Caenorhabditis elegans: one gene and its partner. The protein of the gene in region 1 purifies or fractionates together with the protein of each later gene. This does not show direct contact. Each region holds a gene or a part of one and is shown in the gene's direction. Other genes may lie near its edges.

What was found.
Region 2: the proteins of nhr-25 (region 1) and nob-1 purify together in Caenorhabditis elegans (affinity purification with western blotting, with the first as the bait; one study listed by BioGRID). This does not show direct contact.

Annotation. Positions count from the first base shown.
Region 1 is NC_003284.9:13,006,941-13,014,481, forward strand, and holds nhr-25 (Nuclear hormone receptor family member nhr-25), read left to right. Parts: upstream 1-1,552; 5' UTR 1,553-1,648; intron 1,649-1,945; 5' UTR 1,946-1,951; coding exon 1,952-2,068; intron 2,069-2,077; exon of another isoform or gene 2,078-2,280; intron 2,281-2,325; coding exon 2,326-2,358; intron 2,359-2,450; coding exon 2,451-2,559; intron 2,560-2,831; exon of another isoform or gene 2,832-2,973; intron 2,974-3,166; exon of another isoform or gene 3,167-3,349; intron 3,350-3,398; coding exon 3,399-3,582; intron 3,583-3,632; coding exon 3,633-3,757; intron 3,758-3,806; coding exon 3,807-4,094; intron 4,095-4,209; coding exon 4,210-4,484; intron 4,485-4,810; coding exon 4,811-4,929; intron 4,930-5,387; coding exon 5,388-5,633; intron 5,634-6,050; coding exon 6,051-6,273; 3' UTR 6,274-7,022; downstream 7,023-7,541. UniProt on the Caenorhabditis elegans protein: Orphan nuclear receptor and probable transcription activator, required during development. Plays a role in male tail tip morphogenesis regulating the expression of the transcription factor dmd-3 in a negative feedback loop.
Region 2 is NC_003281.10:12,078,306-12,086,314, reverse strand, and holds the start of nob-1 (Homeobox protein nob-1), read left to right. Parts: upstream 1-1,998; 5' UTR 1,999-2,052; coding exon 2,053-2,240; intron 2,241-2,284; coding exon 2,285-2,493; intron 2,494-6,823; coding exon 6,824-7,059; exon of another isoform or gene 7,060-8,009. UniProt on the Caenorhabditis elegans protein: Transcription factor, involved in posterior embryonic patterning, morphogenetic movements of the posterior hypodermis, and cell fate specification. Binds to the 5'-TAGT-3' motif in regulatory elements of genes, including Meis protein psa-3 and microRNA mir-57.

The DNA of each region.
Region 1 (7,541 bases):
TCTTATCATATTTTCACTGATGATGTCTATAGCGCCTTTAACTATTTCATACATATACAAAATCCCGGATATAGTCATTGCCATATTTTATTTTCCTTTTTTTCCTAAGTATTTGTGGAAAGTTTAATACGAAAACCAATAAAATACGTGTTTTGAACTTATAATATAGAAAAACCTATTTTAAATTTAGATTAAAAACTATTTAAACCTAACAGGCATACCTTTAATTTAACCAGACGATTCAATTTTTGATAATGACGTTATCATAATTATGCAAAAATGATTAGCTTTCTACAATATACATTGTTAAATATCTAAACTTTGTTGAAATACCAGCTCAAAATGAGAATATAACTTTTTTAATCTAAGAACTATCAATATTTTGACGAAATTTTATATTCTATTTTTTTTAAATAACGTTTCTAGTCTTAGCTGAGCATGTTGCTTTTTGTGCATTTTTCGAGAATAACTTTTTTATTGTTCAGTATTTTTTAGAAAATAATTTCCTGTCTTGACTCTCTGAAATATTTTCGATGAGCTATCTCAATTAATCTCAATTTGGCTTCATTGTTAGTACACACGTTTAGAACCTAATGTTTTTAAGCTTCAAATAACCTGTAAACTTTTTTTTTTAATTCGGTCATTTTTGAGCGAAAAAAGTTTCACCCAGCGCCCCGCCCTTTTTTTAATAAAAAAAATGTCCAAAAACCAATTCTGCACGGTGAGATATCATCAAGATTCAGTAGAAGTTTTTAGATGCGAAATTTCAGACGTAGAGAACAGGATGACAAATTTTTATACTGGTAACATCTAGTAACATTTGACTTCGATTTTGATAATTTGTCTTATTTGTACTATTCATTTTTAAGCGGTTTCCTTGTTGGGATAATTTCTATCATATCGAAGCAGATAGTTTTTAACCGGAAGTGCTTTTCTATACAAGCATATGTCGAGTTTGTTTTATTTTGTTTTAAAAATTTATTTTATTTGGCGCTTCTAAAAATCTTTTTCCCAGGCTAACTTATATGGTCCTATTTACGTTATCTCTCGATATCTCCTCTTAACCGGCTGATTGCGTAATAAAATGTAGATAGCGAGAAAAAGGGGTGGAGGCGACTTTTAGGGTAGGCGATGAATCAAAGCAGTCTAGGTAGGTAATATAAGTGAATTGACGAAGAAAAAAAATGAAGAACAATGCAAAGAAAATCAAATCTCCTTTTCCCACCCGGGGGGCAGCAAGTGAGACTATAAAAAATCGAGACCCACCGTCCCTGCGGTTTTCGCGCGCTGCGCAGAGAGAACAAGAGATATTCAAGTTGAAGTTACTGGGCAAAAAACGAACTGTAGCGGTGCCTGGCACGACCCCTGACGATACGCCACTGAATTGCCATACTCACACGTTTGCTTTCTCCGTTGTCGTCGTCGATCGTTTTTCTTTACCTCCCGTCAAGAAGAAGAAGACCCCCACGTCCTCTTCTTTTCTCTTCCTTTTTTTCATCATTTTTTCCCTCTCGATCATCCCCTTCTCTCCCATCGACGTTCACTATTTCAGGCCTCCGCGTCGACCTTCAACTACGACTCTCTTCTATACATAGGTAGCCGTTGGCGGATTTTAGTGGACGAAGAAGACGAGCGGGTGTGTCTTACGGTATGTAGGTCCCCTCGGGTAGAGCATGGTGGAGGGTGCGAGACAACCAAAGACATCCAACGATAGGCTCGCTGATGCCGCCAGTGGTGTGGTGGGAGGAGATCGACCGGCCCAAGAGATCCACACGGCAGCGAACCACTTACTCTCACTTTTCCGACTCCGCCTACTTTTTCTTCCGTACCGTGCCATCCTTGGACAGGTCCTTCATACCTTGTGCCATTCAGCTATCCCTTTCTCAAATTCATTTTTCTGTTTTCAATTTCATTCGAACATACAGTAATCCGAGATCTGTTCCAGAAATAAATGACTGACGTCGAGAGGATGGTTCTGCGACCGAATCATGAAGGCGAGATGTGCCCGGTTTGTGGTGATCGAGTCTCTGGATATCACTACGGCCTTCTGACGTGTGAAAGTTGCAAGGTTAGTCTTAGATGTCTTCACTTTTTTTCCGCGGGAAAAAAGTGGGTGTGTGGCAAAATGATAAGGTCATTTGTAGTTAGTGAGAGTCCCGACTCAGGGACACGTTCGAGCCCTTCAAGGACAGACAACTCTCACCGCCAAAATCATTCACTTGTTGCCATATGACCCTCATCGGGCGGTCATCTCTAGTTTTTCATTTGATTCTTTTTTTTCCATTTATTGTTTCATTCTCTCCATCAATAATTTTCTCTTTACAGGGCTTCTTCAAACGCACTGTTCAAAACAAGAAGGTGAGTACATACATATGTATAAAAATATAACACTGTAGCTGATGTTATCTAAGTATTGTTTTCGACTTTCTCCAATTTGTCCCTTCTTTCAGCAATATCAATGCTCTGCCGAAGCCAACTGCCACGTGGATCGTACTTGCCGGAAGAGGTGTCCAAGCTGTCGATTCCAGAAGTGCCTCACAATGGGAATGAAAATGGAAGGTAAGATATCTATCATATCTAAAAGAGCGCAACCGCTCTTCTGTAAGAGCACATACTGTGCTGACTTCTTGATTGATGGGATAATAAGGGATGTAACCGTTATCGAAAGTCCATCTCTATAAAAATTTTGAATTTGCACTTTAAGCAGCGTCATAAGCTTGTTCCACGTAATCATCGCGCAAGGCTTACACTTTTTGTGGATTTCTACTTCTCCTTTCTTTCATCTCTGTTACATGTTTCTCTCTCTCTCGTTTTTCTTTTCGTTTCGTTTTTGCATGACAACAAAAACGATATATTGAAAAGAGAGATGCAAAATTGGATATGAAACGGTGAGAGTGGAAGAGAAGAATAGATCTGACAGTCACCGAAAAACCGGTACCTGGAGACCTGGGGGTGGAGGCGCGCATCTCAAACGCTCTATGGCAGGCGCGCAACCATTTCAAATGTTGGAGAAAAGTGAGGCAACACCTTGGAAAACAACTGAAGTTCAGTGAAGTTTTATTAGGACATCCGGTGCATCATAAAAGAACTATTGGCATTCGGGGAAGTAGTAAAAGTGCAAAACAATAGTAGCCGGCTCGATAATTATAGGTGCTGAACAGTACCTTTGTTGGGAAAACATGAAGTGCCGAACTCATTCATTGCGGCGCGTTTTTCGTGAGGATCTCAATTGCAGGGTGTCGCATGTTTTGCGGCAAAAATGACTGCACTTGCCCACTCTACTCCAGATCAAATGAGCCGTGTGTACAGTCATCTGGCGGGTACAAACGGGGAACTGTAAATTGAAGGGGGAACATCGAAATGAGTGTGTGCACTTGGATAATGACTATGTTTTGTAGCGGTGCGTGCCGATAGGATGAGAGGTGGACGAAACAAGTTCGGATCGTTTTATAAGAAGGATCGGGCTCATCGTATGCAGAGAAACGCAATGAGAGTGAGCACAGTGCAAGTTCCAGCCGTCCTTGGAGCACAATCACAAGCACAAACATTCTATCAACCTCCAGAGCACCAGGTTTCAAGCAGGTGAGCTTTATTTCTTATATTTCTTTCAACTTATCAATCTCATATTTCAGCACAACTGACCAGAACAACCAAATCAACTATTTTGACCAAACTAAAATCAAAACTGAATATATCAAAACTGAGTATGATGCACATCTCCAGAGTCCAACATTGTCCAGTAGCACTAATCAGCAGCGTAAGAATATTTTCTGGAGTTGTTAATAGCATCAAATTATAAATTTCAGTTTCTGTTTCCGATTTTATCATGAGACCTGGATACTTAGTTGACCCACAAGACAGCTTGGCAGTACTTCTTGGGAGCACAATTGACGACCCACTTCTCAGGCATACCTTCCCAGCAGCTTATCAGTTGAATGAAGTCAAACAGGAGCCATTTGACTATTCGGAGCAGTTCATTCATCACTCATTGCACGACTATCCAACTTATACCAGCAACACTACCAATTATGCTACAATGATGCCAATGACAACTGTTTCCAGCACACAATCCTTGGTCACTTCGACTTCTTCTAGTAAGTTTTAGTTTTTTTATCGCTTTTTCTTGTCTTCAGTTTATAGTTTCAACATTTCAAATTTTTGATTAAGTTTTTTTTTAATTTTTGAAATGTTAACATTACTTAATTTCAGCAACAACTGGCCGAATGACAGAAGCTAGCAGCACATCACCAATTCTCCCACTTTGCCCAGCACCAACTGAAAAAACGGTGGACCACTTTTACAACAGCTCGATCGCCGAAATGTGCAAAACATTACCCGATGATGCTCAAATTGCTCGAATTTTCACAAGCGTAAAAGGAACTAGCAAACCTGAAAAGCACGCATTTTCCATTCAAGTCGCAGAGGAAAATTTGAAAGATATCGTGATTTGGGCAAAAAATGATCAACTATTCAGCAAATTATCGGTAAAATAATACATACAACAATATAATAATCTAGGCACTCTCATTTCCCACCAGCGGTTTTTTTCTAATATTTTTATTCTCTATTTCCCACCCTGATGAGATGGGAATAATGTAGATAAATTGCTCGCTTCCGGTGATCAAAAGAAACAATCGCCGCTATAAAAAGAGGCGCTCCTTCTCAAAAGGTACATCCCCATACAAACACACCTCTATTGTTTTCATTACGGACACCCATTATGTACTAGGAGTAATTGCACCGCAACCTTTTTATATCCTGAGTGTGATAAGTAATTGGTTGAAGATTTACTAAAGTGCATTTATTCCAGTTGGATGACCAAATGATTCTGTTGCAAACATCGTGGACAACCGTTCATATCGTTGATATCACTAATGCAATGGTCCACGGAAATCTTCTTTCGCAGTATAAAATGTCAAATGGTGATGAGTAAGTTGTTAAAATTTCTTTGAGTTCCATTCTTCCTAAGGCTCGGAAACAATTTTTGTGGAACGTTTGATTCTGGCTATTTAATGAGTCAATCAACTTCCAACGCAACACAACTACTATAAACAAACCGATCTGACAGCGGCGTCTATAAGATTAGGCTATAAAGATTTGGCGATAAATCTTGACTCATCTATCTCGATTACCCACCTTTTTTGCCTCTCGCAACATTGGGTGCCGACATGACGCAAGTCTTGATTCTCGGCACCAGATAAGATCTTCGTCCCGCGAGCTCATCGTATAAAGTATTGCGCATTTTCCCACTACCGGCATAGGCTCTAATAAGGATTAGGCTACCATTTTAGTTACGTAATTGTTGTGAAAACGAGCCGGTGGTCTTTCAAAAGTTCAAGACCTTTTAAGGCCCAATAAACCACTATAAAATCGTATTCTTTTTGCAGAGTTCCCGTCGGTCTTGTAGCTCTTCTTGGCAATCAAACATTCGTATCATCATGGAATGATGTTGTTATTCGGCTTCGAAATATGGGATTCACGAATTTCGATTATTGTGCTTTCCGATTCTTAGCCCTTTTTGACCAATCAATGGACTCTTTCCCAGCAGTCTCTACTGCTCGATCTCGAGTACTCCAATCTTGGCGTGAAGTGAGATGTACTACCGCCTTTCTGGAAATTTTCGAACAAATCAGGTAAACCTTTGGCCTTCGTAAAAACCCATCACAAATCAATCTTTCCCCTCGCCTCCACACAAATTAGCAACGTTGCCGTATAATTAGTGCTCATCTCTCCCTCCAAAAACTTGTTGTATACAGGAGACAAAGAATTGGGGAGAGAAGAGAAGCATCGGAAGAGTGGAGAAAAAAACTTATAATAGGAAGGCTCATTTATTCTGGTTGGATAGGTGCGCGAGGAGAAGGAAACAGATTAGAAAACGGGGCACAATATGTATACGGTATTGTTGCGCAGCAGGTGGCACTAAGAACGGGGAGAGAATCTTTACTAAATACATATGAATAGACAGAAAACAACTTGACTTATGAATATGCATTGGGAAATATGAATAAGTCGATTAATTACTTCTTACAATCTATTCTTTCTAATTTCAGACGACTCGCTTACGACTCACTACGGTACTTATGGAACCTTCATTCAAACTGCCCCACGAACTGGGAGCAATTCTTTCCGGAAGCCTCCTTGGTTCTTGAAATGATTCGCACTACTGTCAACCGATCGGCTAGCAGTAGCGTCACCGCAATCACTCAGGTCCCAGCAATCCAACTGCCAACCCCACAAGCCACATACACTGCTGTGCCGTACATGGCATCATAATGTCTCTGTCATAGGAGCTGAAAACTTCCAATGGAGTCAGTCAGCAACTCCCTTTGTTTAGCGATCTCGCTCAACTCTTCCATTTTTACGGGACCGGTTTTTTCTGTTGTCAATTACAGACAGCCAGTATTTTCTGCATAATTCCCTTATTTCACTTATTCAACTTTATAATATCAATATCATTTTATACCTCAAAAACCTCCATCCATGCATTTCAATTCATTTTCTTCAAGATCTATTGAATATCTTGCATTTTTCGTGCTGTGTCAGCTTTTAGTCGGTTGTACTTTATTTAAATCATTTGCATTTTTTCAATTCTCATTTTGTCTCAATATCTGTGTATCCTAGTGCCCAAACCCTCACAGCTTTTAAATGTATTTTGCTCTATTTTTTTTTCATTCAAAAATCTTTCCTCTCAAAACCCATTTTCCTAGGTCACGAGCCAATCAAAATTGGCACTTTATTATTATTATTGTTTCTCCCAACAAAAATCTGAAAATTCCGAAAAAACGTTCTCTGCCGAACTCTTCTCATCTTCCCAAAACTTTAAGACTGTTCTCTTCTGCAAAACGGATAATTGTTTTACATGCAATTAATATATTTGTATTTTGTCTGAATTCGCCCCCATTTTATTTCTTTATGGATTTTTATGTTTGGTTGTTTTATTATTCTTTTTTTCTTTGATTTTGATCAATCAACACACCTCACTTGTTTTGTATGTGCAGATCGTATATAAAAATTGAAATTTTAAATTATTTGAAATACTTTTACAAAAAATATTAAAATGAAGTATTGCGATTGTAGGATGAACTTTCAGGTTTTTGTGGATTTAAAAAAATAAGACTTGGTTTTTATTTGGTTCTGAAAACTTTCAGAAAACTAGACTTTAGTTTAAAATTTTTAAGACCAATCTTTTAAACTTAAATACTTTGTAGAGTGAGTACAGTTCACTCTGGATGTGAAAGTACTTTTCCCACTTATCTGTCTATTTTTGCCCTTTATTTTCCTCGCCTTGTCTACAAAGGGCGTTTTTCCTATATTTTGTGTCAGTTGCCATATAGGAGTATTACTTTCAGAACGAAAAAAAGTGAATGGTTACTTTTCGATTCTGCGTCTTCTTTGTAACTATTGAACCTTAAAAAATGACAATAAATATTCCACCTATAGGTAAAAAGAAGAGAAAAAAATCAAAGCCCCTTGTCTCCCTACGCTTTTTTCTTCCACCACCCACGGAGAGGCCCAACGATTTAACCGAACTGGTTTTATAT
Region 2 (8,009 bases), on another chromosome or scaffold:
GTTATTTTTTTTGAATTTTTACTTGAATTTAAAAATTTCAAACTTTCTCATTTTTATCATTTTGATGGAAGTTTAATTAAGAGCATAAAGCGCGGATTGAGGCGGAAGGCAGGCGGAGGTCGCCTTAAGGCCAGGCAGGCGTCTTCACGCCTACATGGAAGCCCAGGAAAATACAAAAAAGTCTCCAACCTCTCCGACACGGAAAAGCTGAATATAGGTGTTTTTTCAAAATTTTGAACCGCCATAAAAGCATTTAATCCTTTTTTTTTTTGAAAAGTTTCATTCTGATTTTCCAGAAATAAGTTTCTAGAATTTCAAAGGGCCTAAGCTCAAGCCTAAGTCTAAGCCTAAGTCTCACGATAGTTTTAGGGTCTCAAATTTAAATAAAAACCTGTATCTAAAAAATCAAAACTGTTCTAAAAAAGCACCCCCTGCTCTACTTTGACAGCCTAAAACTCGGTTCGCTTTGGTTTTATCAAACAATTGCAAACGGACAAAATAAGTGCAAAGTGTTTCCCTATATTTTGGTTATTGCAAATTTTTTGGTAAAACTGAAGACAGCCGAGGTATAAGCCGCCACGTGGTGTCAGGCTGTCCCATTACGGTTTGATCTACAAAAAATGCGGTAATTTTTTTCTCAAAAAATGTGACGTCAGCACGTTCTTAACCATGCAAAATCAATTGAGAACTCTGCCGCATTTTTTGGTAGATCAGCGTAGATCAATCCAAAATGAGACACTCTGGCACCACGTGTGCGGGAAGCTTAAATACTCAAGCTTCAGGGGGTTTTTTAAATTTCAAATCTAAATCCTCTTGACAAGAAAAATAGAATGACCAGAAACCGAAGCGAGAAAAAAGAAAAAAAAGTGGCGACCTCTCTTTCTCTCTTCCTGTCCATTGACTAAAAGGCAAATCGGATCGGAAGGTAATCCAGTCGTAAAATTGGTGGAAGGTTTCCTATACTAAAATTATATCATAGAATACGGAGTGCAGGAGGTCGGGTTTTTTTTTCAAATGAATTGATATAATAAAATTGAAAAAAAAACGCTCAAATTTTGTATCATATATATGGGAATAAAAAGTTGATATTTGTCAAAATCATGGAATTTGCTTTTCCCTTGCTTTTTGCACTCAACTTGTCTCTCCTATTCATTCTCTGTTCCCCGCCCGCCCCGCTCCTCGCCGCCCAATTCGTCAGAGGGGTACGGTAGACAAGTGGGTGGAGCGTGCGTGTTATGTAGTGTCCTCCTTTCTGCTCCTCGGCCTCATCACCTTTCACGGCCCCCCGCCCCTTATTCTCTTTATAGTCTCTTTGGTGTTTTCCAACACAAGGGGGAAAGAGGAAACACCTTTTTAATGCGTTTATAAAACTTTTTTAGTGCTCTCTTAATCTTTATTACTTGTCTCGCATGCATGTTTCAACATTTATGTTATTTATGTGCCCCCCCAGCTTTTATTTTATTACCCTCAAAAGGTTTATGAGGTTTAAAATTATTTTATTGGTGCTTAAGGTTTTGATTGCCGCGTTTGTCGCCGATAAATAATAATTACTGTTATAAGCTTATTTACTAATTAATTAATTTTCCGCGTCAAAATCCTAAATATATCGTAGCTAAAGCTTTATATCTAGTTAGTATGGCCCCCCATCAATCGACTTTGTCGTCTTATATTTCAGCGGTTTCATAAGATTTTTGATACCTTCAAAAACCAGAGCATAACTATAGATTTGAAAAAGATATTGTCGTTCGAGTTTTTGACATATGATCAAAAAGAACCGAGATATAAGCGTTCAAAGTCGAGTGAGGGGGGCCGTACTAATAGGAAATATACGGTAAATGACTACTGTAGCTCTTACAAGCCGTGCTAAATTCATTTCAAAAATCGAGCCCGTAAATCGACACAAGTGCTACAGTAGTGTTCAAATATAAGCTTTTTAAATTCTCGTTTTTCTTTTCCTTACTTTTTCAAGCTCAATCTCGCAAAGTGCTCAACTTTCAGGTTCAAAAACAGATCTCCAAACCCAAATAACTCCCCAAGCTGCTCATATATGGAATGATTTCGGTGATGCAACAAATGATTAATAACGACTCTCCAGAAGACTCTAAAGAATCTATCACCTCTGTCCAACAAACTCCATTCTTCTGGCCAAGTGCTGCTGCTGCCATACCGTCGATACAAGGAGAAAGCCGTTCGGAAAGAGAATCTGAAACTGGGTCGAGTCCACAGCTAGCGCCGTCTAGGTTAGTGTGAAGTTGATTTGGCAAATGACATCTATCATTTTCAGCACAGGAATGGTTATGCCTGGAACAGCAGGGATGTATGGGTTCGGACCAAGTCGAATGCCAACTGCCAACGAGTTTGGAATGATGATGAACCCGGTCTACACGGATTTCTATCAAAATCCGCTGGCCTCAACTGGTTGGTACTCATACGGACAACCGTATCAATTCACAGCTAACTACTCCATTCCAAGTCTCGATGGAAATTTAAGTGGTTAGTTCCAACATCTCACTTCTATTATGTCATTGTGCTCTTCCATCTGCCCGCCCACCTCCGCATTCCTCGCTATCACTAGCTTTGATCTTACCGCCGCGAGTTGCAAGGGTAGGAGAACACGGTTTTCTGCTCCGTAACTCGGAACTTTCTAAAAGATCATAAGTCAATTCGCAGCCTATTTGGATCTCATTCCTTTCCTTTTCCGCATAACAATCATAAAATTATTAATTACCGTTGAGACCTCCCCCACCCATAAATTTCGCCTCGCCCTTGCCCAATTAGTAATCGATATCAAATCACACACGCGCCTTCAATTCCTACCGTACCACTTTATCTTCCGATCATCTCTTTTTTTGTTCGTCATTCTTCCTTATATAGAATCTTCTTCATTTTTTTGCCCCCATACAGTAATCGGAGAGTGCACTCTCCTCGCGGCGCCAGCGGCGACCCTTTCAAGTTGTATATGTGTGTGTGTGTGTATCGACGACGTGTATAAACACGCACTGGCGACACTCTTTTTTTTTTGGAGAAAAGGCAAAAAAGGAGAGGAGAAGACTATATCGATAACAGACACTTTACATCAGTTTTATGGTACGGTAGAGAAGGGGCAAAGTGTCAGAAGCTGTGGTTCTAATTATACCAATATCGATTTTTTGTAAGGTATGCCGTATTTTAATGTCTTATGTAAAACGTAGCTTTTAGGATTTAGGTTTTTTTCCTGAACTCATTTAAGTTTATATATTAGCTATTTTCGCTTTTACGGTGATTTGCTTGAATTGCTCAAACAAGTATAGGTAACTCGAATATGATAACTGCTAGCAAAAAATTTCCAACTAACAAAATGTTGCTGTTGATTTTTTCCACATCCTTGATATTGCCATAATTACATAACTTTGTTTACAGCAACTGACATCCGGCGGGACTGTTTTTTCTTTAACTAGAATAGAATTACTAAGTACCCCATGACTTTTGAACTAGGTGTGTATAGCAGTTTATACTACCGTATATTTCCTATTAGTATGACCCCCCCCCCTATCAATTGACTTTGTCGGCTTATATTTCAGCGGTTTCAGAAGATTTTTGGTACCTTTAAAAACCAGAGCATAACAATAGATTTGAAAAAGATTTTGTCGTTTGAATTTTTGAAATATGATCAATCAAAGAGAACCGAGATATAAACGGTCAAAGTCGAGTGAGGGGGGCGCCATACTAAAAGGGAATATACGGTGCACTTTCAGATTTTTTTTAATGCTGGAAGTTGTGAATCACCATTCTCAAATAAAAAAGATCAAAAACCAGTGTAATAGAATCTCAAATCTCAAACCTCCCAGCAACAAATCAACAGTCTATAAAATAACTCAACTTGGCGCCTTATGGTACTTTTCGGGGGGGCGCTATACATGTCCCTATCACTCATTCACAAATTGCCTTTTCGCCCAAAATATTTCGTTTTTCTCCCCGTCTCTCTCGCTTGCTGTGTGTTATCTCCATTTTCGATTTTACGACTCCGTGTGGCTGCTTGGCTTCGTCCCGCTCCCCGTATTTGGAGAGGCAGAGAGACTCTCTTTTTTGGCGTCACGACGACTGCTGCGCAAATTTTCGGATTAAAAACAGCGAGTGGAGGGGGGGGGCAGCCCCCATTTCAATTAGGGGAAGGACAAATTGAGATACGGTAGTTAGGGATGGGCGAAGATGAGGGAGAAAGAGCTGGATGGGGATACGACAGACATGTTGGAGCCTTCTTTGGAATGTTCTTTTGGGATCGGGAAGGGCTATTCTAAAGGTACATAATGTTTTTCTCAGTGGGTCTCGCTACGGCGTCCGTAGTTTTTTTTTATCGATTTTAGTGACACGTATTACTAAAACTAAAAGCTGCTTGTCATGTTGATATAATGCGGAATTCGATATCGAGATTAGCGGGAGAAAGAACTAAGGACTTTAAGCGACTTTGAGCACTTTTTGAAGCATCTAGTAACTTTCTCTATTAGTATTGCACCATATTGTTTAATTTTGAAAGCTTATACCCGAGAAGTGGTACCTTTACGCAGTTTGTCTACCGTATACCTGGCAGTTTGGGTGCGTGTTTCTCAAAAACGGATGGTTCATTTAAAAATTTTTTAATCAAGTTACAGTATTCACAAAAAATTCTAAATTCATTAGGCCAAAGTTTTTTCCTTATAACGCGTCCAATCCGGGTTATGCACGGTGTTCGATGGAGCGCATTTCCACGGATGTACCATTTGCCGTGCCGTGAAAATATTACACGTGGTGCCAGACTGTCCCATCACGGTTTGATCTACAAAAAATGCGGTAATTTTTTGCCCAAAACAAAAGTGACGTCAGCACGTTCTGCGCTTCTCATACTCCCGCATTTTTTGTAGATCTACGTAGATCAAGCCGAAATGAGACACTCTGACACCACGTGATATTACAGTTACGCTAAATTCTGAGAATGCGTGTTGCACAACATATTTGACGCGCATAATATCTCGTAGCGAAAACTACAGTAATTTTTTAAATGACTACTGTAGCGTTTGTCTCGATTTACGTGTCTTCAGAATTAAGTGCAATACTATTACGATAATTAGAAATCTTTAACGCAAGTTTTAGTTTTGAAGAATCGTCGAAGCACCCACATTTTTTGATGTTCCTTTTTTGATTCGATTATGGAAATGATTCACGGCTATGAAAAATGATGTTCTAGAAAAATGACATTCCTGACTAAAAAGTACCGTAACCCTGCTCTAACTTCCAACAGCTTATCCCTTCTCTCTCTGATGCCAGATGTGATCTTCATCTTCTTCCGTATCCTTTCGGCAAGTTGTTCATTTGAAGTTCAAAGTGTATGCCGACCGGGTCCCAGTGTGAGGAGTAGTGTTGTCTAGAATTTTATGACGCTAGTTTTATAGTCGACGACGACGGCGTGCCACTTGCCTTCTCCTACAAATTCTTTGCCCTTCATTGTTTTTTGTTCTGATTTTTTGAAAGATAAAGTACTGTACACTGTACACTTTCGGGTTTTTTTGAATTTTGAAAAAATCGATTCTCAAGTAAGTTTCACAGCAAAAAAGGGTAACTCTATGGCATGACTGAAATGGCAAAGTAAACACCTTTAGAATTCGCAAGCGTAAACTGAATCATCAAATTCAATAAATCGTAAAATGTTGTATCAATAGGGGTCTAGGAGGTATTGTCCCCGTCAAGGATCATCATATATCAAATTGTTGTAAATGGGGAGGATTAGGATATAACAGGTAAACGGAATATGTTGGTATTAAAAGGCCTAAAACATTTACGTAATCTCCGAGCAGAATAGAAGAACACCTGGAGAAACGGGCATGCAAGAAGGCTATAAAATCATCCTGTTGTGGGTAGTTGGCAGATGTTCCCAGGAATTTTGGAAATTTTTTTTTGTAGAAGAGTCCGAGACGTAGTTAGTAATAGTTGAGTAGATCTTCCTTAATTTACTCAAGTTATCAGTAGAGCACGTTTGTATTGATGTACCAGGCGCCCTGCCGTGAGTTATTAGGGAAAGACAAAATTCTGAGAATGCGTATTGCGCAACATATTTGACGCGCAAAATTTCTCGTAGCGAAAACTACAGTAATTCTTTAAATGACTACTGTGGCTTCTTCATATTATTTTCTCATTTTTTGCTCAATTCATTTCAAAAATCAAGCCCCCTGTAGTTTTCGCTACGAGATATTTTGCGCGTCAATAATTTTGAGTTTTGTAATCAGGTACTTTCCCGGAAATTCTTCAACTGTTTGAATTCATATGTCCTTAAAAAGTTGCATAAATTTCACGGAAAACGAGTTAGAGGCTGCCCATCAGGGGTTTGCGGCAAATTTGCCGAAATTACCGTTTGTCGAGCTAGGCAAAATTTGACAATACAATTTTGACCAAAACACTTGATTTTGTCCTCCAAAAATTTAGTAAATTGACACAAAATTAAAAAATTATATCAAAAAGTATCACATTTTTCTGAGCTTAATAAACACGGCAAAATTGCCAATTTTGCCGAATTTGTCTTGCTCGGCAAATTTTGAGATTTGCCGCACAACCCTGGCCCCCCCATATGCTCAGTTTACCGTAATCTAGACAGCTCCTGGCGTCGCCGTCCAATTAATTAGAGTTGAAAGGGACCGGCATGTGTGTCTGCCCCGGGCCTTCTATCCCGAAAACATGGCCCACCCCAATTTTACGACTGGAACCTCCCCCCACCTGCTCTCAGTCTGTGTCATCACACAGACGTCTCAGAATATATATATGCTCCATCTTGTTTTATAGTTATTGATTTACTGCAATCAAAATATTTTATTTTCAGATATCACAATTCCAACGACGGCTGGAAGCAGTGCGGCAACAACTCCGAACGCTGCAATGCATCTTCCGTGGGCAATCTCACATGACGGGAAGAAGAAGCGACAACCGTACAAGAAAGATCAGATATCAAGACTTGAGTACGAGTATTCTGTCAATCAATATCTCACGAATAAGCGGAGATCAGAACTCTCTGCACAATTGATGCTTGATGAGAAGCAGGTCAAGGTCTGGTTCCAGGTATGTTATAGGCAGTATTCAGCGGAAAGTCTAGAGATCATAAATGTGAATTTTTATCTAATGTCCTAATGAAAAAAATTCCAGAAATTTTGGTAAATTCCCAAATTTCCTCATTTTTAAAAATTAATTTTGAGCTTCTCTGGATTTTCAAAAAACGAACATCTGAAAAATACTAAATTTCAATATTTTGAACATTTACAAGGTTTGGGCACTAATAATTGAAAAAATACAATATTTAGCGCCAGCCAAAACGAACTCGAAAAAATTGAAAAATTTTTTAAAATTTCCAGAAAAGTTTTGGCAAAATGCCAAATATTTAAACCTGTTCCGACCTCTAGAATGTTTTATAGGAATTTTTTTGGCAGACTTCCAAAATTATGACTTTCAAAAACTGAGTAATTGTCACTTTTCAAACTTGTCAAACTTGTCAAAATTTTCAAAATTTTTTTGGAAAAGTTTTGCTATCATTTTGGCACCACTGGAGTAGTTTTTAACAATTTCCTCACTGGCGCTAATCCATCAATAACCATACTTTAAAAGTTAAAAATTACTTTTCAGCACGTGGTGTCAGAGTATCCCATTTCGGATTGATCTACGTTGATCTACAAAAAATGCGGGATAAGAGGCGCAGAGTTCACAACTGATTTCACATGGTTAAGAACGTGCTGACGTCACCTTTTTTTAGGAAGAAATTCCCGCATTTTTGTAGATCACACCGTAATGGGACAGCCTGGCACCACTTTTTGTAGCCACACTTTTTTGAACTAAAGTAACATTCGTAATTAATTATCAGAGTGCAAATAAATAAGTTGGACATTTGTGAATTCACGTAAAAATGGAAATGTGCAAAAAGGAGGCAAAAGGTGAGCAGGTTTCAGGCAGGCATCAGGCCTTGAAACCGCATCTGCCTACCATGAGAAATAATTGAAAACTTTAGAAACCTGAAACCG